Linked DNA regions of Elephas maximus indicus. The protein of the gene in region 1 interacts with the protein of each later gene in a biochemical or structural test. Links are inferred from orthologs where the notes say so. Each region holds a gene or a part of one and is shown in the gene's direction. Other genes may lie near its edges.

Region 1 (8,114 bases):
ACATCAACAATCTTTACAGGAGCAGAATATCACAGGAGGAGCTGCTGGGTGAGTTTGAACTGCCAATCTTTCCGTTAGCAGCCTACCACCTAAGCATTTCGCCACCAGGATTAAAAACTGTAAAACTTTATTGAATAACTTTTAAAAAATCATTGAATTGGGTTATAAACCTTGTTTAGAAGCCCTGTTGGTAAAGCAGTTAAGTGCTTGGCTGCTAACCTAAAGGTCAGTGGTTTGAACCCACCAGCTGCTCTGCAGGAGAAAGGTTTGGCACTCTGTCTCTGTTAAGATTTACACTTTTGGAAAACCTATGGGGTCATTCTCTGTATACTATAGGGTCACTGTGATTCAGAATCAACTTGATGGCAATGGGATTGGTTTTTGGCATAAATCCTTGTTAATGGATGGGAAAATATTATTGTAAAGATGTTAAAAGTTCAGGGAAATCCCAATGAAAATCCCAAGAGATTTTGTCATGGAACTTGGCGAGTTGATTCTAAAATTCATATGGAAGAGGAAAGGCACAAGAAGTGGCATCTGAATTTTTAAGAATATTTTTTTTAAGTTTATTAATAATAAAGAGGGGAAAGTGTCATAGGAAAGTGTCATAACAAATCTAATAAGTACTAACTCTATAAAATTACACTATTTTTAAAGTATGGTTAATTGACATCACAAGGATGCAGTCAGCAAAATCCAGATGGGATTTCAATTTGTAGTCAAGTGCTTAACCGTCTGGGAGGATTACAGAGACCTTAGCACGATGTATTCTATCTTTCCAAAATATAAATCTCTTCATGTCCTTTCCTTGTTTAAAAAAACCTGGCTGCTACTTAGTGACCTGTACATGTGGCCACACATTTACCTTCAATCTCCTCTACCACTGTTCCCCTCTCAAGCATCCCAGTTTATTCCTAGGACACATTGCGGGCTTTTGTGTCCAACTGTTGTGACTTCTGCCTGAAATGCTCTTAATGTCCTTTCTCTCTCAGACAAAATTCTACTCTCGTTTCAGGGATCGCTCAACAGAGCCTGCACCTCGGGGCACAGTTGATCCCACCCTCTGCTGGGCTCCCATAAAACCAAAACCAAACCCAGTGCCATCGAGTCAATTCCGACTCATAGCGACTCCCGTAGCACACTTAAAACCAGCTGCTGTCTAGTTGATTCCAACTCCTGGCGACCCTATGTGTCTCAGAGTAGAACTCTGCTCCATAAGGTTTTCAATGGCTGATTTTTTTCAGAAGTAGATCACCAGGCCTTTCTTGCAAGGCGCCTCTGGGAAGACTCAAACCACCAACTGGTCGCTTAGCAGCCAAGCTCATTAACTCTTGGCACCACCCAGAATGGTACTCGTAACATAGAAATTGTTGTGACGCCACGGATTTTAAAAATGTAAATGAGATCATGTCCTGCCCCAGCTTAAAAGCCTCCCATGGAACAGAATAGAAAGCTCAGAAATTGACCCAAATACACATTGGAATGTAATTTATGATAATGGAAACATTTCAAATGAATGGGAAAAGATGGGACCATACATGGTGTTGACAACTAACTGGGTAGTTATTTGGGGGAAAAATTCTGGATCCTTACTCACACTTTATGCCAAAGTGAATTTACAGTGGAAAAAAAATTTTAATGTAAAATATGAAGCCATGTAAAACTACAACATGTAGAATTCTTTCTATAAAATTGAACTGGAGAAGGCCTTTCTAAGTATAACACAGAACCCAGAAGCCCCAAAGAAAAAGATTGATAAAACATATAGAAGCTAAAAGTTTTTTCATGGTAATAAGTAATAAAACCAGAAAAATATTTGCAACTCATACATATGGGGGAAAAGGGATAAAAACCCCTATAAATCAATGAGGGAAAAGTTCAACAGCAAGACCCACTGAAAAGGGGGCAAATGATATGAACAGAGAATTTACCAACACAAGTCCAAAAAAATCGCTCGAAAATATGAAAAATTGCTCAACTTCACTTATAATAAAGGGACTGAAAAATAAAAGTACCTCTCAATTTTTACCTATCCAATTTGCAAGGATCAAAAGGTTTGGTATCACACTGTGTAGGCCAGGGTGTGAGGAAATAGGCAGTATGATACTTGACTGATGGAAGAGTAACCTGGTACAACTGCTGTATAGAACAGTTTGCCAATAGCCATTAAAAGCAAGAAAAAAATACATTTACTCATTTACCTGGTAATTCACTTCCAAGAATTTACCTTGCAGACAAACTCCCACATATGCAGAATAATGAATGGACCAGTGACAGCATTATTCGTAATAGCAAAAGATTGGAATCTACCTGTTGTTCTTAGCTGCTGTCGAGTCTTTTCCGACTCACAGCGACCCTACGTGCGACAGAACGAAACCCTGCACTATCCTCACGATCATTGCTATGTTTGAGCTCATTGTTGCAGCCACTGTGTCAGTCCATCTTGTTGAGGGTCTTCCTCTCTTTTGCTGATCCTCTACTAAGCATGATATCCTTCTCCAGGGTCTGGTTCCTCCTGGTAACATGTCCAAAGTAAGTCTCTCCATCCTCACTTCCAAGAAACATTCCGACTGTACTTCTTCCAAGACAGATTTGTTCATTCTTCTGGCAGTCCATGGTATAGTCAGTATTCTTTGCCAACACCAAAATTCAAAGGCATCAACTCTTTTTCGGGCTTCCTTGTTCATTGTCCAGCTTTTGCAAGCATATGAGGCGATTGAAAATACCATGGCTTGGGTCAGGTGCACTTTAGTCCTCAAAGTGATATCTTTGCTTTTTTGACACTTTAAAGAGGTCTTTTGCAGCAGATTTGCCCAATGCAATATGTCATTTGATTTCTTGACTGCTGCTTCCATGGGTGTTGATTGTGAATCCAAGTAAAATGAAATCCTTGACAACTTCAATCTTTTCTGTTTATCATGATGTTACTTATTTTTGTGTTTTGTGTTTATGTTGAGGAATAATCCAAACCCTGGTGGCCTAGTGGTTAGGTGCTACGGCTGCTAACCAAAAGGTCATTAGTTCGAATCCACTAGGTGCTCCTTGGAAACTCCATAGGTCAGTTCTACTGTCCTATAGGGTTGCTATGAGTCAGAATCAACTTGACAGTAATGGGCTTCTTTTTTTTTTTTCAGTTATAATCCATAGTGAAGACTGTAGTCTTTGATCTTCATCAGTAAGTGCTTCATGTCCTCCTGCCAAGCATGATGTCCTCCTCCAGGGACTAGTCCCTCCTGGTAACATGTCCAAAGTACGTGAGACCAAGTCTCACCATCCTCGTTTTTAAGGAGCGTTCTAGTTATACTTCTTCCAAGACAGATTTGTTCATTCTTCTGGCAGCCTGCGGAGTCTATCTAAATGTTCCTAAATAGGAGCTTGAGCAAATAAATTATAGCATGTCTTTATAAAGTTGTGCATTAATTTAAAAACTTGAGGCAGTTTCAAAATGTAGAGCTCAGTGAAAAAAAACAAGGTGTATAAGTGTGTGTAGCATGCTACTGTTTGTGTAAAACATTTATACATATAAATAAGCTCCTGAATATAGCAACCATCTTTGAAAGGCTACATGGGAAAAGGTGATAGCCTCTGTGAGGGGAACCAGGGACTTGAAAGCAGGGGTGAAAAGAGGACTTGCTTTTCATTCACGTGCTTTTGTACATTTTTAATACTCAGTGTTCCTATATACCTATTTTTAATCAATTAACATACCTTTCCATGCTTAGAATCAATTCCAACTCATTTCCGTGATTAACTTTAATCTCCTCTCACACTATACCCTTCTCTCACTACTCTCCAGCCATACTGCTTCACTTTCAGCTTCTGGCATGTGTGGAGATCTTCCTGCCTCGGGACATTTGCACATGCTATCCTTCTGCCTAGGTTGATGTTCTCCAGCCTCTTCGGATAGGCTGGCACTTTCTTATCCTCCTAGTCTTGGGTTCAACGTCTTCTCTTCAAAGAGGCAATCCCTAGCTACCCTACATAAATAATTGTGAATAAATGCCTCTCCCCTGACCACCCTGTCTAAAACAGCACCTCTTCTCTTCCTTGGCCCTCTTTATGACAATACCCCGAATTTATTTTCTTCCTAGTACCAATCACTATTTGAAATTATCTTGTTTGTGTATTTTCTTAGTTGCTTACTGTCTTTCTCCATCTCTATGGTTTAAAAAAAAAATGGTTTAAGCCTCCAGGAAAACGGGCTGTATCTGTCTTGTTCCTAACTCTATCTTCAGCAACCCAAACAGTATTTGTTGAATAAACTTACACAGCACATACTATGGTATACACACTGTTCTCCGGACTTTACAAATAATAATTCTCTTAATCCTCACAATAACCCTACGTAGAAAGTCGGTACTATTACCCAATTCACAGGTGAGGGAACTGAGGAACAGAGCAGCTGAGTAACTTGTCCAAGTGGCAAAGTCGGAACCCCAGAGATAAGTTTCTCAGCCACATCCATTGCCGGCTAGTCGTTTCCAATTCATAGCGACCCTATAGGACACAGTAGAACAGCCCCAGCCCCATACGGTTTCCAAGACTGTAAATCTTTAGGAAGCTGACTGTCACGTCTTTGTCCTGCGGAGCCGCAGAGCGGCTGGTGGGTTCCAACTGCCAATACTTCGGTTAACAGCAGATTGCTTAACCACTGCGCCATCAGGGCTTCTGTTTTCAGCCACAATGTGACGCTTTCTCGACATACAAATTAACAGGTTGATGAAAGAGACGGAATGAATAAATGAATGTGTGAATGTAAATGTTGATTTAAGGCTTCGAATTCCCCAGATGTTCCGTAAGAGGGCGCTCTCTCCCACGCCTTGACGCCAGTCATTTAAAGCGCGCACTCCCTTTGCGTCTCGGGCTCGCGCGCGCTGCCGCAGCACCGGAAGTGACTGAGCTTGCAAGTTCCCCCGGTCTCTTCAGGGGAAACTGAGGCCGGCTTGTTGGGAAGAGACGGCAAGAGCAGTCAGCCAGGTAGGCGGGCCCTGGTCCGCGGCACGGAAGTCAGTCGCGAAGAGCTCCCGTGTCTGGAAACTACCAGGCCCATGAAGGGGGATGTGGCCCCCCACGCCTCGCGGGTCTCGCAGGTGAGAGCACCGCCTCCCCTGCGCGTGACAGGCGCTGCGCCCAATGGGAGCCCTCGCCGTCCCGCGCCCGTGCCTATTGGGCTCGCTGATTGGCTACGGTAGGGCGGCCGCCAGGGGCGAGACCCCTCCTCCCAGAAAGGTCTAGGGGGAGCCCCTGAGGAAAGAAGGTTGCCTAGCAACAGGGCGGTGGCCTGGCGGGTACCCGGCCTAGCTTGTTGGAGAAGCCGCGAGGCCGCAGCCCACCCACTCCGGGCTTCGGAGGTGCAGCCCCCCCGGCCCCTCAGCCCTCCCGGGGGCGGCAGGAAACCGCCGTGGGCCTGTCCCCAGGAAAACGTGGTCTCGGCTGTGGGGGGCCTCGAACGGCCCTCGACCCCACTTTCCGACCCGAGAAGCCGGGCGCCTCACCGTCACCCGGTCTTTGTGCACGGCGCCGGCGGCCATTGTGTCCGGGCGGGGAATGGAGGACCGGGCAATCCCCTACTACCACCGCCACGTCCAGGGCCATTGGGGAATTCAAAGAAAACCAGCAGCGTTTGTGGGGGGCCCCCGGCCTTCAGCCTCCCGGAAAGGGCCGGGGATGGCCTTTCCGAAGCCACATCGCGCATCCGAGGCTGTTTCCTCCTTCCTCCTCCCCTCATCGAAACCTTGAGCCCATTGAGAAGTCCCTGCAGGGTTTCAGAAGCTTCACCCTGAGCTGGTCCTTTAAATAAATAAATAAATAAACGGCACAGCAGCCGCCTCCGGGGGAGTTCTCCTGGCTCCCGGTAGGAGGCGGAGAGCCAAGGGGCGTGCGAGAGCAAGGGGGCTGGGCTCCCGGTGGAAGGAGGCCGCCGCGGCGGAGCGGCCGCCCTCGGTCTGGGCGATGGAGGAGGAAGCGAGCGAGGGAGCCGGTTCCTGAGCGCCGCGGTTCCAGTGTCGCCTTCAGGGCTTCCAGCCTGCCGGCTCGCATGAGCCCTCCGGCTGGAGCTGGTTTTTTTTTTTTTTTTTCTGCCAGCCGCCGCGAGGCCGGCTGAGTTACCGGCATCTCGGCCGCCACCTCCCCTCGCGACCTATGATACAAAAGATCTTCCGGGGGCTGCACCTGCCTGCCGCTGCCTGAAACGGATTTGAATGTAGGTGGTGTGGGGGACTGCCCGTGAGGGTGACTTTCTGAGGAAGGCTTTTCAGAGAATAGGGGGTGGCTAGAGTGAAAGAGGTTGGTGGATGATTCAGAGCCCACTGGGGCTTTCCATTTGACTTTTCGAAGTCTCCTGGAAGCTAGACCCAGACCGTCATAAGAGCCACACAATCAGCTCTGGTACCCGGAGGGGGAATGTGATGTGGGGAGATGGCATACATATTAATTTTTTTTTTCCCCTGAAGCTTTTTCCCTTCAGAACCTTATCTTGGCTTTGGATCTCAGAGGAGAACCACTAACAGAGACAGACTCAGTGAGTGAGCAGGTGTTTTGGACAATGGACTGGTGGAGCCCATCCCTATTATAAAAATGTCTCAGAGCAACCGGGAGCTGGTGGTTGACTTTCTCTCCTACAAGCTTTCCCAGAAAGGATACAGTTGGAGTCAGTTTAGTGATGTGGAGGAGAATAGGACTGGGGCCTCGGAAGGCACTGAATCCGAGATGGAGATCCCCAGTGCCATCAATGGCAACCCATCCCGGCACCTGGCAGACAGCCCTGCGGTGAATGGAGCTACTGGCCACAGCAGCAGCTTGGATGCCCGGGAGGTGATCCCCATGGCAGCAGTGAAGCAAGCTCTGAGGGAGGCAGGCGATGAGTTCGAACTGCGGTACCGGCGGGCATTCAGTGACCTGACATCCCAGCTCCACATCACCCCAGGGACAGCATATCAGAGCTTTGAGCAGGTAGTGAACGAACTCTTCCGGGATGGGGTGAACTGGGGTCGCATTGTGGCCTTTTTCTCCTTCGGTGGGGCACTGTGCGTGGAAAGCGTAGACAAGGAGATGCAGGTATTGGTGAGTCGGATCGCAACTTGGATGGCTACTTACCTGAATGACCACCTAGAGCCTTGGATCCAGGAGAACGGCGGCTGGGTAAGGACCACGCCCCTTGTGTGTCCCATTTCTTTGGCCTCTGGTCAGAGAGATCCTCAATAGCCTTTCCCTTGTATCTCTTTCTCTTGTGCTGGGTGATGGTTGGAGATGTTGCTGGTTCAGGGATGTGACTGGCCTCATTTCACTACAAGGAGTTAACTGTTAGGAAATACAGATGACCTAGTTCTTGAAGGACCTGGCATCTTTCATTCTGGTCATCTTCATGACCCTACTTTTTCATACTTGTGCTTCAGTACCTCAGTGAAGGAAGACATAGCCTATGTGTTCATTCAGGTCAAAACCTATGCAAGTGGGAAGTTAGTCCAGTGTTTCCTCACCCTGACACAATGGTTCACCACCCAAACAGGTAATGAGTATAATGCGTGCAAAAGAGACTGAGCATCAGTGGTCCACAAACCCCTCCATCTTTTCTCCCCCAAGGGTGTCAACCATCCCCAAAACAAGTTCCCTTTATTTTGGAGTTTCCTTGTGTGGTACTTTCCTCTCAGGATAGGGCATGGCCAGGCAAAACTTTCCACCACCGTGTTGGATGGCTGAAGATTGTCTTATTTTAGGGCAGTGTAGGCTGTGCCAGCCTTTGTTTGCACCACACCCCTAAGTGTGCAACTTTCTGCGTGAGTGGTATGTTTGTGGAGCTCTTGCTGTGTCATGCATTAAGCCTGGGGACTTTGCACCTCACTGCCTGGGGTCGGTTGGAGAGCTCCAGCTGCTCTGCCTGTTGCTTTCCGGCCAGGGTTCTGGGGCCTCTTCACCAAGCACTCATGGCAAAGCAAGAACCCAGTCTGTGGGATTCTCTAGAGCATTGCAATTTGGTGACAGACTTTGGAAACAAACTAACACAGGTGTGAGTCCCAGCCCTGTCACTTAACTAGCTGTGAGACCTTGGACAGGGCAGTTTACCTTCTTGAGCCTCAGTTTGTCCCACTAAAAAAATATGGTAAGCTCTCTTTGCC
Region 2 (7,656 bases), on another chromosome or scaffold:
AGCCCCCCACCAACCACTGAGTGACCTCGGACAATAATGCCATTCTCACAACAAACTCTCGGATAGGGCTTTGCTATCCCCGTTTCTCAGAAAGAAGGGGAAACTGAGACTCTCATGTATTAAGGCCACACTCAAGCTGACGCACTGGGAAGAAGGCCCCACACCTCTCTGCCCAATATCCACACCTCCCTGAGTTTCCACGTCCTCACGTGTAAGATGGGATGTAATAAAGTTCCCAGCCGCTCTGTGCGTAACATCCCTGTCCACAAAGGGCCTCACTAACTGTGGACATCAGCTGCTGGCCAGATGTGCAGGGCACAAAGTGAAGGAGCTGCCCTGGCCAGCTGCAGAGGGGCAGCTGGATGAGCAGCTATTGGGATGCCCCTTTCAGGAGCCCTGGGCAGTGTCAGAGACTAAGGGCATTGTTTCCTCTCCAGTCCGCCTCCATATGGCTACCGGATTCCTCTTACTGAAGACTGCTGGGATCCAGTCCCTCTCTCCTGCTCAGAGGCCTTCCATGGCTCCCCAGTGCCCCTAGGACAATCTAGTCAAATCCACCTTTCCATCTGATCTCTTACTCCTCTCTTCCTCTTACCAGCAGAAATGCTCCAAACCAAAAACCAAACCCAGTCGCTGTCAAGTTGATTCCGACTCATAACAACCGTGTAGGTCAGAGTAGAACTGCCCCACAGGGTTTCCAAGGAACAGGTAGTGGATTCGAACTGCTGACTTTGGTTAGCAGCTGAGCTCTTAACCAGTGCACCACTAAAAAAAAAAAAAAAGGGCTCCAGAAATGCTCGCAGCTTCCCAAATTCACCCAACGCTTTCTTTGCTCCTGCTGTTTCCCCAACCTGAAATGCCCTTCTTCCCTATACCATTTGGTGAAAACCCAGCCCCTTCTCCAAGGTCCCCTCAAGTTCCTCTTCCTCCAGGAAGCCTTTCCTGATATGTTTGCACCGTCTCCGGAGCCAGATTTTAGTTTTCTGTCTCCTGAGGTCTTGGTCACTTTCAGTCTCGATCCTGCTCTGTATTATGTCTTGGCTTTGTCTGACTTGAAACTAAGCTTTTGCCATTGTCTCTGGCTCAGCTCAGCCCTGAGACAAGACACTCCCCACCCCACCCCCCCAAAAAAGATGTTTTCTGATTACTAAGTAAATACACGTTTATATAGAAAATCCGGAAAATACAGAAAAACACAAGGCGGAAAATTAACCCCCCTGTAATCGTTGTACCCAGAGAGTAACAGTCCTCCTGTTCTGTGGAGCTGTATTTCCTTCCCGAGTTTTTATATGTGGACTTAAAAAATACACGTTTCCACCAGACACACTGATTTGTGAAATGCGTTATTTCATTTAACAGACCACATGTCTCTAAGGTATAGTTTCTTTTGTGGACATGATAACTCTTCACCAGTTCTACAGTAACATTTACTGAGCATTGCTCTGCATTTACTGAGCACCTACTGTGTGCCAGGCCCCATGCTCTGCTTTAATCCTTAGAACAGCCCTGGGAGTGGAAAATCATTATCCCCATTTTACAGATGAGGAAACTGAGGCTCAGAGAGGCCCAGGCACTTGCCCAAGGTCACAGACGTTCTAGGTGGCAGAGTTGGAATTACAGGTGCCAAGTGACTGCAGAGTTCTGGCCCTCACCCATCAGGCTACAGATTCTCTCCCCAGAAAAGGCTTATATGACAACCGCAATTTCACTTTACTTTTGGAATTCACAGACTTCTGGAAGCCCAGTTACAGGCCCCCAAGTCCCTGTCCCCCAGGAACAGAACACCCTGGGTTCGAACCGCAGCACTTCACCTCTTGGTTGTGTGGCCTTGGACAGGTTAGGCCCCTCTCTGAGCCTCAGTTTCCTTATCTGTGCAATGGAGAGAATCATTCGTACCCTGCAAGGGCCATGAAGGGCACAAGAAATCACCCAGGTAACATGCCCAAAACACTGGGCTCTCAATAGCAGCTCACCCCACAAAGGTGTCCCCAGGAGGTGTCCACCAGGCTGACGCAGGTGAAATGCTATCATGAGGCTCAGGCCCTGCTTAGGTGAGAACAGCAAAGCCCTTTCATGAGTCCCGCCTTCCTGATGTTACAAAGCCTCCACAAAGCCTCCCCAAAGCCGGGGAGCAGGGGGATTTCCAGATAAGGTGTCAACCCAAGGCTGGGATGGCAAAAACAGAGCCATTTAAAACCTGCACTGGCTTCTGCCCCCTAGGTGGGGCCCTGGAGTGTGAGACCAGCACTTGGCCAACAAGTGCTTGTCCAGCCCTCTTTGTCCATTCTACCCCACCCCCTCCTTTGCTCCCCTCCACCCCCTACCGCGCTTCACTCTCCTTCATGGAGGCCTTGCTTGTGCCAGGCCTTGCTCCCCTGGCTGCAGGCGCCCCATCTTCCTGTCCGCCACTCGCATATGCCATCTCACGAGTCCCATCACCAACCCCCGTGTCTGGCACCATAGTAGAGGTCAATCAATATTTGTGCAATGAAATGGACAGATGAAGTCATAGCAAGGACAAAACCCAACCTGTAGTGGGCGTCAGAGGGTCCACTGGGCAGGGGTCGCTGAACAACAGACAGATGTTGTTGGGGCCACAGCAGGGGGGCTCGGCTGGGGCTGGCAGGATCCAGAGGCCCCCCAAGGCAGCTCCTCTAGACCAACGCTCTCAGCATGTTTGCTGAGCACCAACTGTGTGCGTGGTACCAAGCCTCTGATCTCTCTGGAAGTATTCTCACATACATTGAGGCTTCTTGGCCCAGGAGACCCCGAATCGCTGCTTTCCCTCTCTCAGTCTCAATTTTTTCATCTGCAAAATGGGTGTAGAGAGAGGTTACTATTTTGTAGGGCTCCTTGTTCCTGCCTCTCAGGTGCCCTGTGGTTATGGTCCAGTCAAGGGGTTGAGGCCGTCCAGGCTTTGCGGGCCTGGAGTTTTATGTAATTTGGAAGACCCTCCTTACAAAAAACAAAGCAAAAAAAGTTTGTCATTGAGTGGATTCAGACTCATGCTCCATAGGGTTCCGAAGGAGCAGCTGGTGGATTTCAGCTGCTGACCTTTTGGTTAGGAGCCCAGCTCTTAACCACTGCACCACCAGGGCTCCTCTTTACAAAAATAAACAAAAACAAACCCATTGCCATCAAGTCAATTCCAACTCACAGTGACCCTGTAGGACAGACCAGAACTGTCCCCTGGGTTTCCCAAGGAGCGGAGCTGGTAGATTCGGACTGCCAACCTTTTGGTTAGCAGCTGAGTTCTTAAGCACTACCACATCAAAAAGGTGCAGAAAATTACAGACACACTATAGGTTTGGCTTGGAAAGGGGTCTGAAGAACGAGATCCAGGGAGGGGCACTGACGTTTAAACTCCCCTCCAGTTTACTAAACATTTTCCTCTGATCCTCCCAACAGCCCTGCAGGGGCAGCGCCAGGCCCCTTTCACAGATGAAGACCCCGAGAGAGGAGTTATCAGTGTCATCACTTCAAAGGCGCTAAGAATGAGGCCCCTACAGGTAGCAAATGCGAAGCCAGCTGGAGGCGAGACCCTGTGGATGCCTGGCCTGTGCGGTAAACAAGCTTGTTGTTGTGTTCCCGGGACAATGGTAACTTTGTTACCCCGTCACCCCTCCACCCATCCAAAGCCTCCGCTGCAGGGCTCCTGGCCTGGGGGCTCGGCACCCTCCCCACCCCAGGGCTAGTCCGGCCTGGACCTTTCTTGACTTCTCCTCCTTGGCGAGGTTGTGGGCACTGTCTCATCCCGGCCCCCACGTGGGCCGCCCGGTGCCTAATCGCCCCCTATTTTCCCGCTGTCGCGAGTCTCAGGGCGGGAGGGGGGCTGCGGTTGAAGCCTGCACAGGGGCGGGAGGGAGGCGGGCAGGGTGGAGAAAAGCCCCCAGGCTTTGGTTCGGGGTGCTTGATGCTGGCTCTAGCCCAAGCCTCAGCTTCCACCTGTGTGAAACGGCTTTAAAAAGTCCAGACTCCTGAAGGTGTCTGCACAGAAAGTACGACGTTTTGAGCGCTGAAATCACTTACCATGAAGCCAGTCATTTCATTCTCCCTGTGCCTCAGTTTCTTGTTCGGGAAAATAAACATGAAAAAGCCCCGATCCCTTAGGACTTTTTTGAGGACGAAGCGAGGCGATCCGTGGCACGAGCCTTGATTGATCTACACAGACCCAGATGAAGTTACCGGGGCCTCCACAAACATTCATTTCTCTGGGCCTGCTGGGTGCACGGCCTCATGCTGGGCGCAGGGAAAAGAGCAGCGCAAGGGACAAAACAAGCTTGCAGATTAGCGGAATCAGAGAAGGTAAACAAGTAAACAGATCACACTTGTAGCAGCTCTGTTGCCACTCCTGCCTCAGTCTTCTCATCTGAGCAATGGGGCAGGGGAGGCCGCTCCCTGGGGCGGGGGGAAGGGCGGGGACGGGACGGGTCTGGGCCTGGGGGCCTCGGGTCCCGGCGGGCGGGGGTCGAAGCGGGGTGGGTGAACTAGAGGCCCCAGAGCGCCGGGCCGGCCGGGGCCGGGTGGAGGGCTGCGGGGGGCGGTCGGGTCCGGGCAGGCCCTGGGGTCGGGGCGGGGCCCGAGGGGCGGGGAGAGGGCGGGTCCCGGCGGGCCTGTACGGTCCCTCGCCGGCAGCAGAGCCGCAGACAATACGCTACCCGGCTCGCGAGCCCCGGACGCAGCCGCCGCCTCCGGTGCCACCGCCGCGAGGTAAGTCTGAGCCCCGGGCGCCCCGGCCGTGCCCGGTGCCCCGCTGGCATCCGCCCCTGCGCCCGGCCAGAGTCCGGCGGGTGGCCGATGGGGGCCGTGGCCCAGGCTTTTCCGACCTGAGAAGTGTCGGGTGTGTCTGCGGGGCGACGTCTCGGGACCCCGGATTCGCAGCGCCCCCTCTCTGGCTTGGGACTCTGGGTACTGTCATCCGACTGCGCCACCCTGCAGGCCTCAGTTTCCGCATCTGAGCAGTGGGGTGACGCCCCTGCGCCCGGTCGCTAACGCACCACCTGGCTGCGCGGCCTCCCTAGGCCGGGCTCTGATTTCGGGGTGCCTTGGCGGGGGGGAGGAGGGGCCAAGGGCACGGAGTCGGATCCCAGCCCAGGGCCGTGCCGGCAGAGACCCGGTGTCTACTAAAAAAGGGAAGATGGCGTCGGACACCTGTCCCCGCCGGGACCCGAGGCACCCCGAGCCGCCGCAGACCTGCAGAGGCGACGAGCCAGGCTTGATTATGGCACACGGGAAAGCCCGGAACAGGGGCTGCCACCGGAGCCGGGGCGGCCACCGCCCGCACCTGCCCACGCCCCCAGCACAGGTGCTTCCGCGGGCGGAGCTGGGGCGCGAACCCGGCGTGGGGGCCTGGCCTTGTTTTGTCAACACAGAGCCACGGGCTCTCGCGCGCTTAGCATTTGAATGGCCGAAGCGGCACGTTCCGTCCAGTGGCCCGGGAGGGGGTCCCCGCTGCCTGCTATGCGCGGCCACAACAAGCCCTGGCCGGCTGGGGACTTGTTGCACTTTCGCAGTCTGGCTTTGGACTCCTGCTTGCGAATCGGCTGTGTAAACCATTAATTGCTACTTTGATATTCGCTGGAATGATCCACCCCAGGAGGGAGGTGTTGTTTTTGTTGTTGCTGGCGTTGGAACATTTTCTGAGCACCTGCTGTGGCCGGGGCCCGTGCATGTGGCTTTCTCTGGTAATCCTCGCTCCAGTTCCCCTAGGAGGGAACACTGTTAGCCTCATCGTTCTCGCATTAGTAAGGGGCAGTTGAGCCCGGCGCTAGGTCTGGTAGGGCAGGAAGCTCCTAACGGCGGTGCTGGCCGCCTGCAAGGACAGGAAGCCTCATTTTACAGATGGAGAAACCCAGAGGGGAATCCCAGAACGCCTTACGATTGCTCTAGCTCAGAGCCCAGAACTCTTTCCTGGAAGTCAGGCCAAGCCTGCCTGCACTCTCCACTTTCCAGCTGTGTGGCCTTGGACAGGCTGCTGCACCTCCCTGAGCCTCAGTTTTCTCATTCTGTAAACCGGGGATGATGGTAATACCATATTCTAAAGGAACACCCGCCCACGTGTTGGTGGCTGTCAGTGATTCCTCTAGGGTCACCATTCACCCTTTCTCCATTTACGTTGAGTTTCTTGAGCACTTTGGCCTGCTCTTGGAATAAATTCTCAGGAGTGGCACAGTTTAATCTCTTGGTGAAGAGTGAGGTACAGTGGATCTGAGACACTGGTGGGCCCCCTCTCCCTAGGCCCTCCAGGGAAAGGCAGCCACGGGAGCCTTCTGCTGGGCCTGGATTTCACTGGCGCTGGGGCAGGTGTGAGCTGCCTGGCTGTTACTGCTCCCTGCTCCTCCCACGTCTCATCAATTGCCCACTCTTCTCTCCTTCTCACTGAGGATGTGAGAATTGAAAACTATCTTCTGAACTTTTAGGTCATGGACTTGTATAGTTGTGGTTTCTTCACACCTTGCCTGTGTTAGGTTTTACAATTTTTCTTTATTTTTGCTATTTTTAAAAAATGTTTAAAGTATCTGGGGAGACTGGCGAGTTTTAGGTAGCTAGCAGGAATAGTAACAGGGCGTGTTGGTGGTCTAGCGGTAGAGTTCTTGCCTTCCATGCAGGAGACCCAGGTTCGATTCCTGGCTAGTAAGCCTTGTGTACAGCCACCACTCTTCTGTCGTGAAGGCATGTGTGTTGCTAGAATGCTAAACAGGGTTCAGTGGAGCTTCTAGACTAATAAGACAGACTAGGAAGAAAGGCCTGGTGATCTCTTCCGAAAATTAGCCAGTGAAAACCCTCGGGCTCACAAAGGACTGACCTGCAATTGACCTTGGGGATGGCGTGGGACCAGGCAGTGCTTCGTTCTGTTGTGCACGGGGTCACGGTGAATTGCAGGCAGCCAACAACAACAACCAGGTACAATAACAGATAAATGACATCTGGATTCACCGAGCTGTTAGCAGCTCTTTTTTTCACTTCTGGTCGTCTCTCTTGAAACAAGCGAAGGGTGGTAACTGGGAGAGTTTGATCCATCAGTGAGCTTTGAAGCTGAAGCAGCCAGCAGCATTTTTCCCTGTCCCTGGAAAGTATCCTGTTTTTAGCATTAAGTTTGTGGACAATTAATGGCTTCTTGCTTCCCCTGCCTCGGACTTAGTGGATCTCAGAACAATTCCGAGCAGCGATGAGGAAGCTCTTGGGTTTTGTTGGCGGCAGCCTCCAGGAAGCTGACAGTGGGGTCTGCAGTGGCCATGTGCACCCGCTTCCTCGGCCTCCCTTTGTCCTCCAGGGCTGGGCCCTGGGAGCAGCACAGACTGTCAGCAAACCAGTGCAGGGACCCAGGTTCCTGGTTGGCTCAGAGGTAGGCGGGAGAGAGGGCAGGCGTGGTGGCTAGGGTGCAGGCCGGGTGGCAGGCGGGCAGCTGATTTTCCTAGTGTCAATACAGGGATGTGACAATACAAAACACTCTCCGGGCCTCACCAGGCATCGCACACAGAACCTGTTTTTCCTGAGGTGGGAGAAAACATGGTGCCTACCTGGTCACCCGGATAGACAGCAAAACTCAGGGGCGAAGGAGGAAGCCCACCTGGTTATTTCAAGGAGGGCCACTGTCACTTGAATTTTTTAAATTGAGGGGTTTTGACACTTTGTTGCCCTCAGCAAATTGCATTT
Region 3 (7,572 bases), on another chromosome or scaffold:
AACTCACACCTGAATGAAGCTTTATCTAACACGTGTGTTTTCTTCATGAGGCTTTATCTAACACGTGTGTTTTCTTCACGAGGCTTTATCTAACACGTGTGTTTTCTTCACGAGACACATCACAGCCTTCCTGTGCTTAGGAACACTCAACAGCACTTCAGCACAACGCCTGGGGGCCATTTTTAAAAACAAAATTTTATTGTGCTTTAAGTTTACAAATCAAGTTGGACTCCCACACAAAAACTTATAAATGCCTTGCTATATACTCCTAATTGCTCTCCCCCTAATGGGATAGCACTCACCTTCCCTCCACTCTCTCTTTTCATGTCCATTCGGCCAGCTTCTGACCCCCTCTGCCCTCTCATCTCCGCTCCAGACAGGAGCTGCCAACATAAGTCTCATGTGTCTACTTGATCCAAGAAGCTCATTCTTCATCAGTATCACTTTCTATCCCATTGTCCAGTCCAATCCCTGTCTGAAGAGTTGGCTGTGGGAATGGTCCCCGTCTTGGGCTGACAGAAGGTCTGGGGACCACGATCACTGGGGTCCTTCTAGTCTCAGTCAGACCATTAAGTCTTTTTACAAGAATTTGGGGTCTGCATCCCACTGCTCTCCTGCTCCTGCAGGGATTCTCTGTCGTGTTCCCTGTCAGGGCAGTCATCGGTTGTAGCCAGGCACCATCTATTTCTTCTGTGCTCAGGCTGATGGAGTCTCTGGTTTACATGGTCCTTTCTGTCTCTTGGGCTCATAATTACCTTCTGTCTCTGGTGTTCTTCATTCTCCTTTACTCCTGGTGGGTTGAAACCAATTGATGCATCTTAGATGGCCACTTGCTAGCATTTAAGACCCCAGATGCCACTCTCCAAAGTGGGAGGCAGAATGTTTTCTTAATAGATTTTATTATGCCAATTGACTGAGATGCCCTGGGGGCCATTTTAAACAGCAAAATTACTAATTTATTTATATACCACTGCTTTTCAAGGTGCATCGGCTTAAAATGTATTTTTTTAATGCTTTACAAAATGAACAGGGAAGGTAATTAGGTAAGATGAGCCAAAAAAATAGAAAACAAGCTGAAGCTTTAGTGAATACACAGAACTGCAAACCAGAGAGCAGCTGTCCTAGCCCCCTCCTCTCCCACACCTTCCTTGGGTTGGGGCTACAGGAACAGAAGGTGGGCTGTGGGCTGCGTGCAGTTCAGGGAGCTGGCTCTGACTACATCCCCATCCTCCCGTTCAAAAGAGCATTTTAGAGCCCAAGTGAGCGCAGCAGCCATTATTATTGGAAAAGCCATGAATTAGCTTTAATTCACTTTTAAAATAAATCAGAATCCTGCTTTTTAACACTTTAAAGACGTCTTTTGCATCAGATTTGCCCAATGCAATGCACTGTTCGATTTCTTGACTGCTACTTCCCTGGGTGTTGATTATGGATTCGACTAAAATGAAATCCTTGACAACTTCAGTGTTCTCTCCGTTTATCATGATGTTGCTTATTGGTCCAGTTGTGAGGATTTTTGTTTTATGTTGAGGTGTAATCCATACTGAAGGCTTTGGTCTTTGATCTTCATCAGTAAGTGCTTCAAATCCTCTTCACTTTCAGCAAGCAAGGCTGTATCATCTGCATATCACAGGTTGTTAATAAGTCTTCCTCCAATCCTGATGCCATATTCTTCATATAGTCCAGCTTCTCAGATTATTTGCTCAGCATGCAGATTGAATAGGTATGGTGAAAGGATACAACCCTGATGCACACCATTCCTGACTTTAAACCACGTGGTATCTCCTTGTTCAGTTCCAACGATTGCCTCTTGGTCTATGTACAGGTTCCTCGTGAGCACAATTAAGTGTTCTGAAATTCCCATTCTTCACAATGTTATCCATAATTTGTTATGCTCCACACAGTCGAATGCCTTTGCATAGTCAATAAAACCCAGGTAAACATCCTTCTGGTATTCTCTGCTTTCAGCCAGGATCCATCTGACATCAGCAACGATATCCCTGTTTCCAGGTCCTCTTTTGAATCCACTTTGAATTTCTGACAGTTCCCCGTCGATATACTGCTGCAGCTGCTTTTGAATGATCTTCAGCAAAATTTTACTTGTGCGTTATATTAATGATATTGTTCAATAATTTCCACATGCAATTGGATGACCTTTCTTTAGAATAGGCATAAATATGGATCTCTTCCAGTTGACTGACTAGGTAGCCTTCTTCCAAATTTCCTGGCATAGACGAGTGAGCACTTCCAGGGCTGCATCTGTTTGTTGAAACACCTCAGTTTGTATTCTGTCAGTTCCTGGAGCCTTGTTTTTCGCCAATGCCTTCAGTGCAACTTGGACTTCTTCCTTCAGTACCATCGGTTCCTGATCATATACTACCTCCTGAAATGGCTGAATGTCGACCGATTCTTTTTGGTACAGTGACTCTGTATTCCTTCCATCTTCTTCTGATGCTTCCTGCATTGTTTAATATTTTCCCTGTAGAATCCTTCAATATTGCAACTTGAGGCTTGAAGTTTTTCTTCAGTTCTTTCAGCCTAAGAAATACTAAGTGTGTTCCTCCCTTTTGGTTTTCCATCTCCAGGTCTTTGCCATGTCATTATATTTTACTTTGTCTTCTCGAGCCGCCCTTTAAAATCTTCTGCTCAGCTCTTTTACTTCATCATTTCTTCTATTTGCTTATCTACTCAACATTCAAAAACAAGTTTCAGAGTCTCTTCTGACAACCATTTGGGTCTTTTCTTTCTTTCCAGTCTTTTTAATGACCTCTTGCTTTCTTCATGTATGATGTCCTTGATATCATTCCACAATTTGGTCTTTGGTTATTAGAGTTCAATGTGTCAAATCTATTCTTGAGATGGTCTCTAAATTCGGGTGGGATATGCTCAACGTCACACTTACCCAAATAATAGATTAGCTTTTAAAATTAACACTATCACCTTTGAGTAATGTGCTCCCTTAAACAATTAACCGTATGAGACCAAACAGTGAAGAGTTACCCAAAAGCAAAGGTGAGAAGCCCAGAGGGGCAAGGAAGCTAGATCAATGGAAACAGAACAGAATAGAAATGAGAATGCTGATGCATTGTAAAAATTATAACCAAGGACACAGAATAACCCGTACGAAAATTGTTAAAAACCCTAAAAAACCAAACCCCAGTGCCGTCGAGTCGATTCCTACTCATAGCGACTCTATAGGTCAGAGTAGAACTGCCCCATAGAGTTTCCGAGGAGCACCTGGCAGATTCGAACTGCTGACCCTTTGGTTAGCAGCTGTAGCACTTAACCACTATGCCAGGGCACCTAATTTGCTGTGTAAACTTTCACCTTAAACACAATATTATTAAAAAAAAAAAAAAAACAGTAAAACCAGTTACTGTGGACTTGACTCCAACTCATGGTGACCCAACGTGTCAGAGCGCAACTGTGCTCCACGGGGTCTTAAGCGGCTGGTTTTTGGAAGTGGATCGCCAATCCTTTCTTCCGAGGCTGTATGGGTGGACTCACACCTCCAACCTTTCCATCAGCATCCAACGCTGACCCTGAAGCTAACCGGGTCTCCCCCATAACGGAGGACCCCGCGCCCGACCGGGTCTCCCCCATAACGGAGGACACAGCCGACACCCAGGCGTGGACGTCCTCGGGGCACGTGCCCTCCGCCACGTCAGTGCCGGGAAAGGAGGGGAAGGGGTGCCGGCCACGTGGACCCAGTCCCTGCGGCGCTGGTCCTACATGACTCTACTTTTCTGAGTGCTTGGAGGTTTTCAAAACTAAAATTAGAAAAGGATGAATTCTCTTCAAACTGCGATAATTTAAACACGGAAATAAAACCCGTATTCAAGGTGTTAAAAAAAAAAAAAAAGCTGGAACGCCTGGCCTCTCCAGCGCTTCCGAGTCCCGCCCCCTGACCTCTCCCCCGGCCTATCCTGCGCCTCGAGGTGCACAAGTCCCGCCCCCTCCCGCCCTCGGCCTGTCCCTCGCCACGCCGTGAATCAGTCCAGTCGCCGACCTGGCCCAGGCCTATCCCGCGCTGCGTTTGCTCAAGTCCCGCCCCCGACGCATTCTACCCGCCCCTTGACCTGGCCCCCGGCCTCTCCCGCGCCGCGCCGCGCACTAGTCCCGCCTCCCGACCTCACTACGGCCTATCCCGCCCCGCAGCTAACTAGCCCCGACCCTGGACCTCGCCCCGGCCTTTCCCGCGTCGCCGCTTCCCGCCCACCGCCGGACGAGTCCCGCCCCCTGCCCTTGCTCCGGCCTATCCTACCCCGCGCCGCGCCACTGCGTGCCCGAGCCCCGCCCCCGCCCCGGCCGGGGATTGGCGCGCGGCTGTGACATCAAGGGTCAGCGACGAGGCGCGCGCCGGCCGAGCAGCGACCCCCGGCCGCGGCCATGCCCAAGCGGGGCTGCCCCTTCGGGGACGTCGCCCCGCTGCAGCTCAAGGTCCGCGTGGGCCCGAAGGAGCTGAGCCGCGGCGTGTGCGGCGAGCGCCACTCCCGGGAGGTCTTCGGTGAGCTGGGGCGAAGGGCCGGGCTGGGCGGCCGCGGCGCGGGAGGCCCCCGGAGGCCCAGGACCCGGAGCCCGCGGGCGAGTGCTGCCCCGGGGCCGCCGGTCTCCGGGCGTGGGGTCCGTGAGCACCGGCAGGGGAACGGGCCGCTCTCGTCGTAGCAGCCGGCCACCCGCGCAGCGAGCGGGGCCTCCTGCTTGCGGCTCTGGGCGGTGCGGAGGGGCCGACGGGCTGAGCGGCAGGAGCGTCTCTCCTACCCGGGCGGTGTTCGTGGGTCGCCGCCCCCGCCAGCGGCCCGGCGGGCGCGCACGCGGGAGGACTGTCCGGAGGGACCAGAGCGGGCCCGCCAGCTGAGGACCTCGGTGACGCTGGAGAGGGGCTCCTGGGGTGCAGAGGGAGCCGGGTCCGGCAGGGCGAGCAGGAGAGAGCCTGGCAGAGACGGAGAGGTCAGGGCAGAGAGAAGGGCAGAGGCCGGGCAGAGGAGAGCCGAACAGTGTCTGGTAGCCACGGCTCCCCCTGGCCGCACCATCCCAGTCAGGGTGGGTCGTAGGGACGGTCAGCGCTCAGGATTTGGGGCGTGCTCCGTGCTGATCATCGCTTCCCACTCGCGGTGATTGATACCATGGGGCAGGTACAAAGTGGAACTTACCCTTTTGGCTGGGGCACGGGGTGTTTGTAATTGAGGGGCCGCGTGTGTTTCAGGGATCTGGGAGGGCGCCTGGCCTTAGGAGAGGCCCCCCTCCTTGAGGCTCCAGCAGCTGGTTCTCTTCTCTTGCTGGTCCTTCCGCAGCACCAGCAGCTGCTCTGCCTTTTCTCCCCTTGTACACTAGGTTGCAAAGTCAAATGGGTTCTAAGGCTCTGAGCCGCTAGACAACCACATGTACGTGCCTTAGATATAAAGATGTTCAAACACTTCAGACTGCAGGCAGAGACAGGATTCCAGAGAATCGAGGCTTGTCAGGGACTTGTCCCTGGGCGCTTATAACTAAGTACAAGACGAAGGTTTGAGCTCACATGTACCCAGCTCTGAGCCTGAGCCTTCACCCCAACCTCTTTGCCACAAGCCCCTGAAGACAGGATTGGCCTCACCCCGAGACTCTTTCCCACCGTGGCAGTTTATTTTATAAACGGTGGGCACTGGGTGGCTGGGTTGTCATCGCCACTGCACTTGAGCTACTCCCATTCCCTCTGGTCCATCAGCTCCTCGGTAACCGGGCCCCCGCCCGGCTGTTAGGGCAGGGTGAGAAACCAGAGCCGCACTGGGTCTGCGACTGCTCCCCTGGGGACTCTGTGGCCATGTAGGGAGGTAGGTTCTAGGTCCCACAAAGGGCAGAAGGGGGTGGGCAGCTTTTGTTGGGACCCATTGTTGGGGTGCCTGGGCCCCACTCTACTGCAGGTGCAGGGCGGCTGGCTGGGGGTTGGCCCAGGCCAGAGTCTGAGGGCTGCTTATTGGTGGGGAACTTGTTCTCATGGCCTGTTCTCCGCAGCGGGGGTGCTCTGTGCCAGATGCTGAGCTGTTTGAGCAAGGAGGGGGCAGGGGCACACAGCCGTAGGTGAGGCCCCCATAGGTGAGGCCAGCTGGGAGACCCTGTGCCGAGAGCCGCTGTGGGAAACGAGCAGTGATGGGAGGGTGCGGGTGCAGCGTCTGGAGCCTTCCTGCAGGAGATGGCGGCCAAGGCCAGGCACCGAAGGGAGGGGAGGACCCAGCTCACCAAAGCATGGCGGAGGCCAGGGTTACAGATGACACAGGGCACAAAGGGCCTCACCCTGCCTACTGGAGGGACCCTTGTGGGGCTCAAAGGACAGTGTGGCTGTTGCGGGCTTTGTAGACCGATGGTGTCAGCATGGAAATTTCGTGTCTTCTGCAGAAAGGACCAGGCAGCTCCTGTTCCGTGGAGCCCAGGCCTACATGGACCATGTGTGGGATGAAGGTTCGCCAGAGAGCTGCACCCTTGTCCACCTGCCTGAGTCCCCGAAGCCCAGCCCCACAGGTGTCCCAGGGGTCACCAGTGGGCAGATGCTGATCGGACCGGGTGGCCGCCTGCTGAGGAGCCATGTCCAGGCCTCAGGGGCCGGTGAGTGCAGCCACGGCAGGACAGAGCTCTTCTCCAGCCATGATGCTGTGTCCAGGGCTCTCCACCAGCGTCTCTCCTGCCCAGATGAGCAAGGATCTTGCAGGTTGGGCGGTGCTGGGGATACTTGTTACCATAAGTTCTCAGTAGATCCCCAGATTTGGAAGTTGTCACACAGTTTCTAACTGTCGGGCCAGAAGGAGCAGAGACACCCCTGAGCGCCCCTCCGCTGTCCACTCTGGCTCTCCCTGGCTCCGTCATCCCAGAGGTAGAGAACACTGATTGTGGGCCACGTAAACTTTGTCCTGCTCTGTACAGCTGGCTGGGACCTCGGGTGTGGTTCTTACTTGTGAGATGCCATGCTTATTAGCTCCAGGAGTGTCAATGGGGGGTCCAGTGGAGATGTGAGGGTAGGCTTGGAGTGGATGCCCCACAGGACACAGCTTCAGGTGGTCACACCATGTGTCTCTGACCATGGGAGGTGATGCAGCATGAAAGGCTCCCACGGAGAGTCCATGGCCAGTTGTGGGTGGAGGTGGTGCCATCCTCATGGCCGACGAGTTATGGTATTTTTTCCTTGCAGACCCATTGGAGGCAGTGTCCAGGGCCTGCTCCTCGTGCGTTCGCAGTGTGGACGGAAAGGCGGTCTGCAGCCAGTGTGAGCGCCCCCTGTGTGGTCGGTGTCTGCGCACCTGCTGGGGCTGCGGCACCGTGGCCTGTGCCCTGTGCTCTGCCGTTGAGTAAGTGCTTCACCTCCGTGTCCCCACAGCTCGTCCTCAGGAGCACATCGTGCAGGGAGGATGGGGGCAGGACCCCAGCTGGGCCCTGGGCACCACAGTGTGGCCTCTGCCATTGGCATTGCCTGGCGGGCCCAGGGATGGTGTCAGCTTCAGTTATCTACCCAACTTCATCTGTTTATTTTTTTCTGAAAACTTTGTGATCCCTCCTAAGGGAAATTGCAGACTCTCTGGCTGCAGTTCCTCTTGCAGCTCGTGT
Region 4 (7,574 bases), on another chromosome or scaffold:
GGTTTTCTCTTCTGTTGAAAGCAGCCTCCCCTTAACTCTTTGTATCCTCCCAGGTTGCTGGGGAAGGTCCGCCTCCACACCGATGCCTTTCAGAACAACTTTGCCTTTCCCTGGGGAGCCTCCTTCCAGAGGTAGCATCAGTCAGCAGCAGAGAAGACAAATTGGGGCAAGGGGTGGGAAGAGAGAGAGAAAGGAAATTCTCCAGCATAATGATTGCTATTGCTGCAATGTGCATTTGCTCTGAGCCCAGTCAAACGCCTAGGGGTCGTCTGCTGCTGTTAGTGAGAGGGTCCAGAGCCCAGCTCTCTAACCCAGCAGGTCCTCGAACTGCTGAGTCTGCCCTGTGCTGGAAGTGGAAAAGGGGCACTGAGGGAGGGGTCTGCTTTGATGGTGATGAAAGCTGGGGAGTGAGGTTCCTGACCTCTCTGACCCCTTTATCCCTGGCAATCTTCTCTGGTTCTTCCAGCTCAGGAGGCCGGGCCTGCTGCTTGACCTTAGAGATTGAGAGCACAGGAGGCCAAGCCACCACGGGGTGTCCTTCAGAACCAGCCTGAGGGCACAAGATGGGAAGCCCTGGGAAAGGAAGCCTTACAAAAGATGTCACCAGAGGGTGTAGCTCTCCTCTATCTTGCAAGCTTCCCAGACCCACTAAGATGACCTCTGCTGCTCTCTAGCCTCGTCGGGCTCTCATCCCCCTACAATGATGATTCTTAATCTTTTATAGGGTTACAGACCCCTTTGGGAATCTGTTGTAAGTTATGAAGCCATCCCCTACACACACACACACACACAAACACACATATACACACTTACACACAGAAAAATGTTTGCGTGCACTCATGAAAAAACAGTTGAGCCCAGTTTCAGGGGTTCATAGACCCTAAAGCAGATGATCCTGGTGAGTGTGGTGAATACATGCATCCCAGGTAAAAACCCTCCTCTATCAGCTTCCTTGGAGCCCTGGTGGTACAGTGGTTAAGAGCTTGACTGCTAACCAAAAGGTTGGCACTTCAAATCCACCAACCACTCTTTAGAAACCCTATGGGCAGGTCCACTCTGCCCTATAGGGTCTTTATGAGTCAGAATTGACTTAATGGTAACAGGTTTAGTTTTCTTGGTTTATCGGCTTCCTTGCCTCGTAGACCCAATTCCACCTTGCTAGGTTTTGCTAAAGCGGAGAGTTATGACAATCCCCCCAGCAGGGCCTGTGTTGCCCTAGAAGGCAGATTCAGATATTCTTTGTCCTTCACTTCTACTCTTGACTCTTAGTAATGCCATGGGCTCTACTGGTCGCTTGAGACAATGGCCCAGGAGGAAAGCCAATAAGAAGAAAAGACAGAAGGAAGGAGGGGCGGGACTTGTGTGCTTGGCAAGTGATGGAGGGCTCTCCAAACTCCTGCAAGGAGGTTGGGCTCGGTCTCCTCATCTCCCTACCATATGTGGCATGAGTTCAAGGTCACCCTGACCAGCTCTGACACTCCCCCTTGGCCAAACCTCCTGGTAAAATAATATACCTCCCTTTGGCTCCAACCACCTCTAGCTGGACATCTAACAACCCCTGGGGGTACCAGGCTGCCGGCCAAAACTGGCCCTCCCTCTTTCCCTTTTCCCTATTCTCTGTCCTTTGGGGACAGGATTTTCCTACTCCAGCAAGCACAGCCCCCAGTCTGCTTGCTTCACTCACTTTCAAGTGCCCTCTGAGGGAGTTAGGTAAAGAATGGGTAGGAAAAAGGAGACTCTAGGCTCCACTGGGCTGAGGGTCCCAGACCCACTGAACTCAAGTCTGTCTGAGTCTATGTCTTAGTCATCTAGTGCTGCTATAACAGAAATACCACAAGTGGATGGCTTTAACGAAGAGAAATTTATTTTCTCACAGTCTAGTAGGTTAGAAGTCCAAATTCAGGGCATTAGCTCCGGGGGAAAGCTTTCTCTCTCTGTCAGCCTTCTCATCAATCTTCCTCAAGACTGGGAGCTTCTCCACGGAAGGACCCTGGGTCCAAAGGAGGCGCTCTGCTCCTGGTGCTGCTTTCTTGATAGTATGAGGTCCCTCTGTCTCTCTGCTAGCTTCTCTCTTTTATATCTCAAGAGATTGCCTCAAGACACAATCCAATCTTGTAGATTGAGTCCTGCCTCACTAACACAACTGCAGCCCATCCTCCTTCATTAACATCATAGAGGCAGGCTTTACAACATATAGGAAAATCATTCAATACCAAGAATCATGGCCCAGCCAAATTGATACACATATTTTTGGGGGGACATAATTCAATCCATGACAGTCTACAACCCAGAGAGAGCAAGCAAATTGGTGGTCAATGCACCATCAATCCCCACCACCCCTAGATGGTCGAGACCCCATCGCTGTTCACCCAGTCTATTTCAGGACTGGCTCACTCTCACTGATTTCTGGACTCTTCATTTATCTGTCCCAAAATTCAGGCTTGAGGAAGTCATTCAAGGTCTATAAAATCTTTGCTGGTTCCTCTTTGCCTCCAGAATAAAGTACAGATTCCTCAGCTTGGCATTCCAGAGGCACTTCTGTAATCTGACCTGAGCCTACATGCTCATGCCCACCCCTCCTAAATCCCACTGTGCACCCTACAATCCAGTGACTGAGCCTACCCTGCTCCCCGGGACACGGTCTCCAATTCAGCACCTTATTCTGCTGTCCCTAGGCCTGGGCTGTTTAATCTAGCTTTCTTTATTGAGGAGACCCTGGATGGTGCAGTTAATGTGTTCAGCTGCTAACCAAAAGTTTGGAGGTTCAAGTCCACCCAGGGGCACTTTGGAAGAAAGGCCTGGTGATCTACTTCTGAAAAATCAGCCACCGAAAAACCCTATGGAGCACAGTTCTACTCTGATAATGGGGTCACTATGAGTCAGAATCAACTTGTCAGCAACTGGTTTTTACTTATAAAAATTTTCTCCATCCTTCAAGGCCCTGCTCAAAAGCCATCTCCCTGAAGAGGCATCTCCTAAGTCTGCATTTCTGAATTTTTCTGCATGCTCCAGTAGTCATTATCCCTGGAATGAACACACTTTGGGCTGCTTTCCATTATCTTCAGATCTACCCCAAGTGGACTGTAAACTCCATGAGGGCAGGCACCAGGTTTTTGGCACCTATCCCTAGTACCTGGCACACAGTAAGCACTCAGTAAAGGTTTGTGAAGTAGCCCATTGCAGGTCATGTTGTCCTCCCAGCGCACCATAGACAGGATGCCTGTCTAGCAACCCCTGCATTCTTGATACCAGGTCTCCTCATGCCAGATGCTTACTTTGCAACTGTCCAAGCCGAGTCAATAAGAGAACATAAGAGCCCCTTTGGATGTGTTTGATCTAAATGGTGCTCAGTAACAGCTTTGCACAGATTTGGAGCTAGAGTTTTGCCCTGAATCACCCCACAGGTGGAAGGACGCTTTGCCACCAGACGGGGATCCACCTTGCACCCACAGATCAACGTTGTCGAGTCTAAAAGCTTCCTGCCCCCTCCTACCTTGGTTTCTGGACATGACAATTTCCCAGCCCATTCCCCAGAAAGAAAAGTTGAAAGCACGGTTTTAAACCGGTTCTTTCCAGTTCAGTCCTGGCCACGGAAGAGAATTCAGAGCAAACCTGAATTTTTAAAATTTGGGTGAACTGGGTGGGGGGTGGGGTGGGAAAGGGAGGCGGGGAAGCCTTGTTAGAAACCTAATCACCCTCTTAGAAAACAAGGGCAGCAGTATGCATTGCATAGCAACCATCTCTCTCCAGATTTTGAGCAGAGTCGGGAAGAGCTGTGCCCCAATCAAATTTGGGGGCTGACTGTGCTGCTTTGAAGGTGTCGCCCTCCACAGTCCTGCCATAATTCAATCTCACCATCAGGCTCCTTAAATAGATCCCTACACCTCTTCTGAGTCTCCCATTCCAGGGCTTCCACTCTAATTTTTCCTTTTCTGGACCTCCCACATTGTAAATATTCGGGTCTGTTCCGCTTAGGCTTCCTTGTCCATTGCCGAACCGGTTCAAACCGGTTCAAAGCCCTGGACGAAAGTCACTTTGGTGCCCCAGCGTAATGGTTAAGAGCTATGGCTGACAACCAAAAGGTGGGCAGTTAGAATCCACCAGGCGCTTCTTGGAAACCCTGTGGGGCAGTTCTACTCTGTCCTGTATGTTCGCTAGGAGTCAGAATGGACTCGAAGGCAATGGGCAATACGTGCAGGGCTCTCTGGTTCTTCTGCTGCTTCTGAGCCCGCCTTAGAACTGAATCTGTTTGGAGGACGGCGCTCTAACTGCGCTTCTGGCGGAGGTCGGAATTTTGCTCGGCCCCTTGCAATGTTTCCAAGGGAAAGTTCGCACATTCGTGACCGTCCCTGGCAGCCGCCCAGCCCGGGACTTGGGGATTCACTCGCCATTGGCCAGCCCTCGGCGTGACGCCCCAGGGGGCGGAGCCTCATCAGCTGTTTGCAGGATGCCCCGAGCGGGGGTATTTTGGAAACAATACCGCACGGTGTTGAGTCTCGTCCACCAGCGCCCGCCAGCGCTTGCTGCCGCCGCCGTCCGTTCGCCGCGCCTGCCGCCGCTGCCCGGTGAGCGCCCGGGCGGCCGGGGGCTGGGCGGAGTTGGATCGCACCTCCTCGGGCAAGTGGGGAGCAAAGTCGCGCTGCGCGTGGGGGCCCGGGAAGAATTGGGCTGCGGGCGTTTGGGGTGACCATGAAGTACTGGGACGCTGGGGTACGGGAACGGGGTGCACAGCCCACATCTGGGTGCGCTGCCGCAAGAGGGAACTTGAGGGTAGCGTTTGGGATTCGGAGGAGTTGGGTCTTGGTGGGCAGGAGGGGGTGCACTGCTGAGCGGACCTGGGCGCCCAAGAACGGCCCATCCTCTGGGTCTGACTTTGGGGTAGAGCGGGAAGTTGTGGGCGTCCTGCGGAGCCTGAAGCCTCCTCTCCTTAACAGCTGAGCTTTTTCCCTCCTTCCCAATCGAATCTGGGCGCCAAGCCCCCGAGTGCTCGTCACGCTGGACCCTGGCGCGGAGCCCTGGCGTCACGACCCGGAGACTGACACTCTTTCCTGGAGTCACCCAGGTGTGTGTGTGTGTGTGTTCCCAGACTTTAGCCACAGTCAAGGACCAGTGTCTAGTCACTGCTCTCTCCTGGGAGGAGCCTAAGTTCAGCATCCCTGTTAGAGCCCTTAGAGGCTGTGATCCCTCGTGGTGGTGTCAGGAAGTGTCCCCCTCACACCGGTCAGGACATGGCTTCTTCAGCTCAGGGGAAGAGGCAGAAGGTCTCTTCTAAGCGCTATTCTGGCTTAAACTTGAATTTGCCCAGCATGCCTCGGGACCTTCTACCACAGGAGATCCACCTGCAGTACCTGGGGAGTGGAAGAGGTCCCTGGGGTTTACAGAGCCACACCTTCTGGCTGCACCTCCCCCACTCTCCAGCCCAGGCAAGGGTCTAACTTTGGGGCTTTGCCTGGGCGAGAGGTAGGTGACAGGCTTCAAAGGCAAAACCAGACAATGACTCCTGCTTGTGATTGCCCCTTGGAGGGCCCCCTCTTAGGTTGTAGCCATCACTCTGGGTTGAAGGGCAGGAGGGAAGCCCCTGCCAGGTGACTGGCAGGACAGCTCTTGGTCCATTCAACGGAAAACTTTGTTTCCTGGTGCTGATAAGCTGGAGTGCCCTCCCCTTTGGGAAACACTATCCTAAGATAGTGCCTGCTTTGCCATCCTGGCAGGCATCTCATTCTCCAGGGAGGAGGGTGGAGACAGGACCATAGGTAGCTCAGGGAGGGAGAGTTGAGGCAAGCACCCAAGAGAGAGTGTGTATTTGGGTGAACAAGGATTTCTGAATTACACTGAGATTCCTTCAAGTACTTCACCAACCCGCAAACCATTTGACTTGTTCTTCAAAGGCAAGAGACTGGGGGACAGAATCCCCAGAGATCTCTAATTGAGTCTGACAGTGACAAACTGTCTGTCCATATCTTTAACCACAGAGGTGGTTGATGCTCCTGGCCCCAGGGGCAAAGGGGTTCCTGGGGTGTGTGTGTGTGTGTGTACCGGGGCTGGGCTGGGAGCAGAAGATGCTGGGTGGCTCCAAGTGCAGACTTCCAAGAGCCATCAGGTGGAGCAAGAGGAACTTCTTTATCACCGAGAAACTCATATCAACAACTTGAATAGTACAGGCAGCTAGTGAGGTCACAAAGAGAGGGCCGAATTTCACTTCCTTCTGTGAGGCAGGTTGTACCAATCTCAGGTTCAGCGCTGCCAAGAATGGTAGGCTGTGGGGACAGGGATTTGCAGTCCGGGAGGCTAGTGCGTAGTCTGAGCTGGCTGGACACTTTCCCAGATACTGGACCTGCTCTCTTGGCCAGCCAGTGGTGGACAGACAGCTCTGCTGCCCTCCTGAGAGCTGCAGTGACTAACTTGGTGGGCCTTTTTCCCTTCCCTCTCCCAAGACATGCTTTTTACCACACCACTGAGCCGGTTTGTTGTGTTGAGTAAGTGGAGGGTGGAGGAGGGTGGAGAGTTGATGGCCAGCAGGGCGGGGCTTAGCAGGTTTGGAGGGAACCTGGCTGCAGAAGGATTGCAGGCTTTTGTTATTGCTCCTGCGCCTGGAGCTCCGCTCAGACTGAGCTGAAAGCTCGGTGGTTACCTTAGGACAGTGATTGTGTGTGTGTGTGTGTGTGTGTGTGTGTGTTGTGCGCACTGTGTGTACAGCCAGTCAGAAAGGTTGTAGCACCCTTCTGCCCTCCCCACCCCAGCGGCTCAGAGACTAGCCCTGTTTACATTTCCCCAGTTTACCCTATGTGCCCATAGCAGCTGATCTACCCCTGCCATGGCTCACAACCCTCTGAGTCCAGCTTCTTGACTGGCCTGGGTCAGAAGAAGAGGCCGAGGGGAAGGTGGCCCAGGGAAGGGGTGTGGAGAGTCCCTGAACTTGAAGCAGTCCACACTTTGGGGGTGGGTGTCACCCTTGGTGCTGCTTTACTGCCAGGATGGTGTGTCATCAGACCCTGGCCCAGCTCCCTCAAAGAAGGGGGGAGCAGGGAAGAAGGAAGGGAGGGGAGAGGAGAGGAGTCCTTTCAGGTATGGCCTGGGTGGGGCAGCATCCCAGATGCCTGCATTGCTCACTGACAGGGGAGATGGAGCCATCTCAGTGTGTGGAGGAGCTGGAGGATGATGTATTCCAACCAGAGGAGGGGGAGCCTGGGACCCAGCCCGGGGGCTTGCTCTCTGCTGACCTGTTTGCCCAGAGCCAGCTGGACTGCCCCCTCAGCCGGCTTCAGCTCTTCCCTCTCACCCACTGCTGTGGCCCTGGGCTTCGACACACCAGCCAGGAGGACAAGGCAACTCAGACCCTCAGCCCAGCCTCCCCAAGCCAGGGTGTCATGCTGCCTTGTGGGGTGACCGAGGAACCCCAGCGACTCTTTTATGGTGAGTGCTCTTAGCCTCAGAACTCCTCCCATAGAAGTTGGGGGGAGAGAGGGGACTTTCCCTCCCCAAACCTGCCCTTTGCTATTATTTCCTTCCCCAATTTGAGCAGCAGGGGCAGTTCATTCCTTGACTCTTACCTCCTGCCTGTCTGCTTGGTATTG

What was found.
Region 2: the proteins of BCL2L1 (region 1) and BIK interact in a test that uses a peptide from one of them, tested with the Homo sapiens proteins (3 studies listed by BioGRID and IntAct, with this or other methods). The link is inferred for Elephas maximus indicus from reciprocal best matches to the Homo sapiens genes BCL2L1 and BIK.
Region 3: the proteins of BCL2L1 (region 1) and SIVA1 form a complex in vitro, tested with the Homo sapiens proteins (2 studies listed by BioGRID and IntAct). The link is inferred for Elephas maximus indicus from reciprocal best matches to the Homo sapiens genes BCL2L1 and SIVA1.
Region 4: the proteins of BCL2L1 (region 1) and BMF interact in a test that uses a peptide from one of them, tested with the Homo sapiens proteins (2 studies listed by BioGRID). The link is inferred for Elephas maximus indicus from reciprocal best matches to the Homo sapiens genes BCL2L1 and BMF.

Annotation. Positions count from the first base shown.
Region 1 is NC_064843.1:37,711,168-37,719,281, forward strand, and holds the start of BCL2L1 (bcl-2-like protein 1), read left to right. Parts: upstream 1-4,882; 5' UTR 4,883-5,090; intron 5,091-5,156; exon of another isoform or gene 5,157-6,202; intron 6,203-6,452; 5' UTR 6,453-6,576; coding exon 6,577-7,140; intron 7,141-8,114. UniProt on the Homo sapiens protein: Potent inhibitor of cell death. Inhibits activation of caspases. Appears to regulate cell death by blocking the voltage-dependent anion channel (VDAC) by binding to it and preventing the release of the caspase activator, CYC1, from the mitochondrial membrane.
Region 2 is NC_064822.1:187,371,729-187,379,384, forward strand, and holds the start of BIK (bcl-2-interacting killer), read left to right. Parts: upstream 1-4,649; 5' UTR 4,650-4,710; intron 4,711-7,656.
Region 3 is NC_064828.1:119,050,228-119,057,799, forward strand, and holds the start of SIVA1 (apoptosis regulatory protein Siva), read left to right. Parts: upstream 1-4,315; 5' UTR 4,316-4,389; coding exon 4,390-4,507; intron 4,508-6,372; coding exon 6,373-6,579; intron 6,580-7,159; coding exon 7,160-7,316; intron 7,317-7,572. UniProt on the Homo sapiens protein: Induces CD27-mediated apoptosis. Inhibits BCL2L1 isoform Bcl-x(L) anti-apoptotic activity. Inhibits activation of NF-kappa-B and promotes T-cell receptor-mediated apoptosis.
Region 4 is NC_064828.1:15,924,932-15,932,505, forward strand, and holds the start of BMF (bcl-2-modifying factor), read left to right. Parts: upstream 1-4,452; 5' UTR 4,453-4,565; exon of another isoform or gene 4,566-4,934; 5' UTR 4,935-5,062; intron 5,063-7,116; 5' UTR 7,117-7,121; coding exon 7,122-7,413; intron 7,414-7,574. UniProt on the Homo sapiens protein: May play a role in apoptosis. Isoform 1 seems to be the main initiator.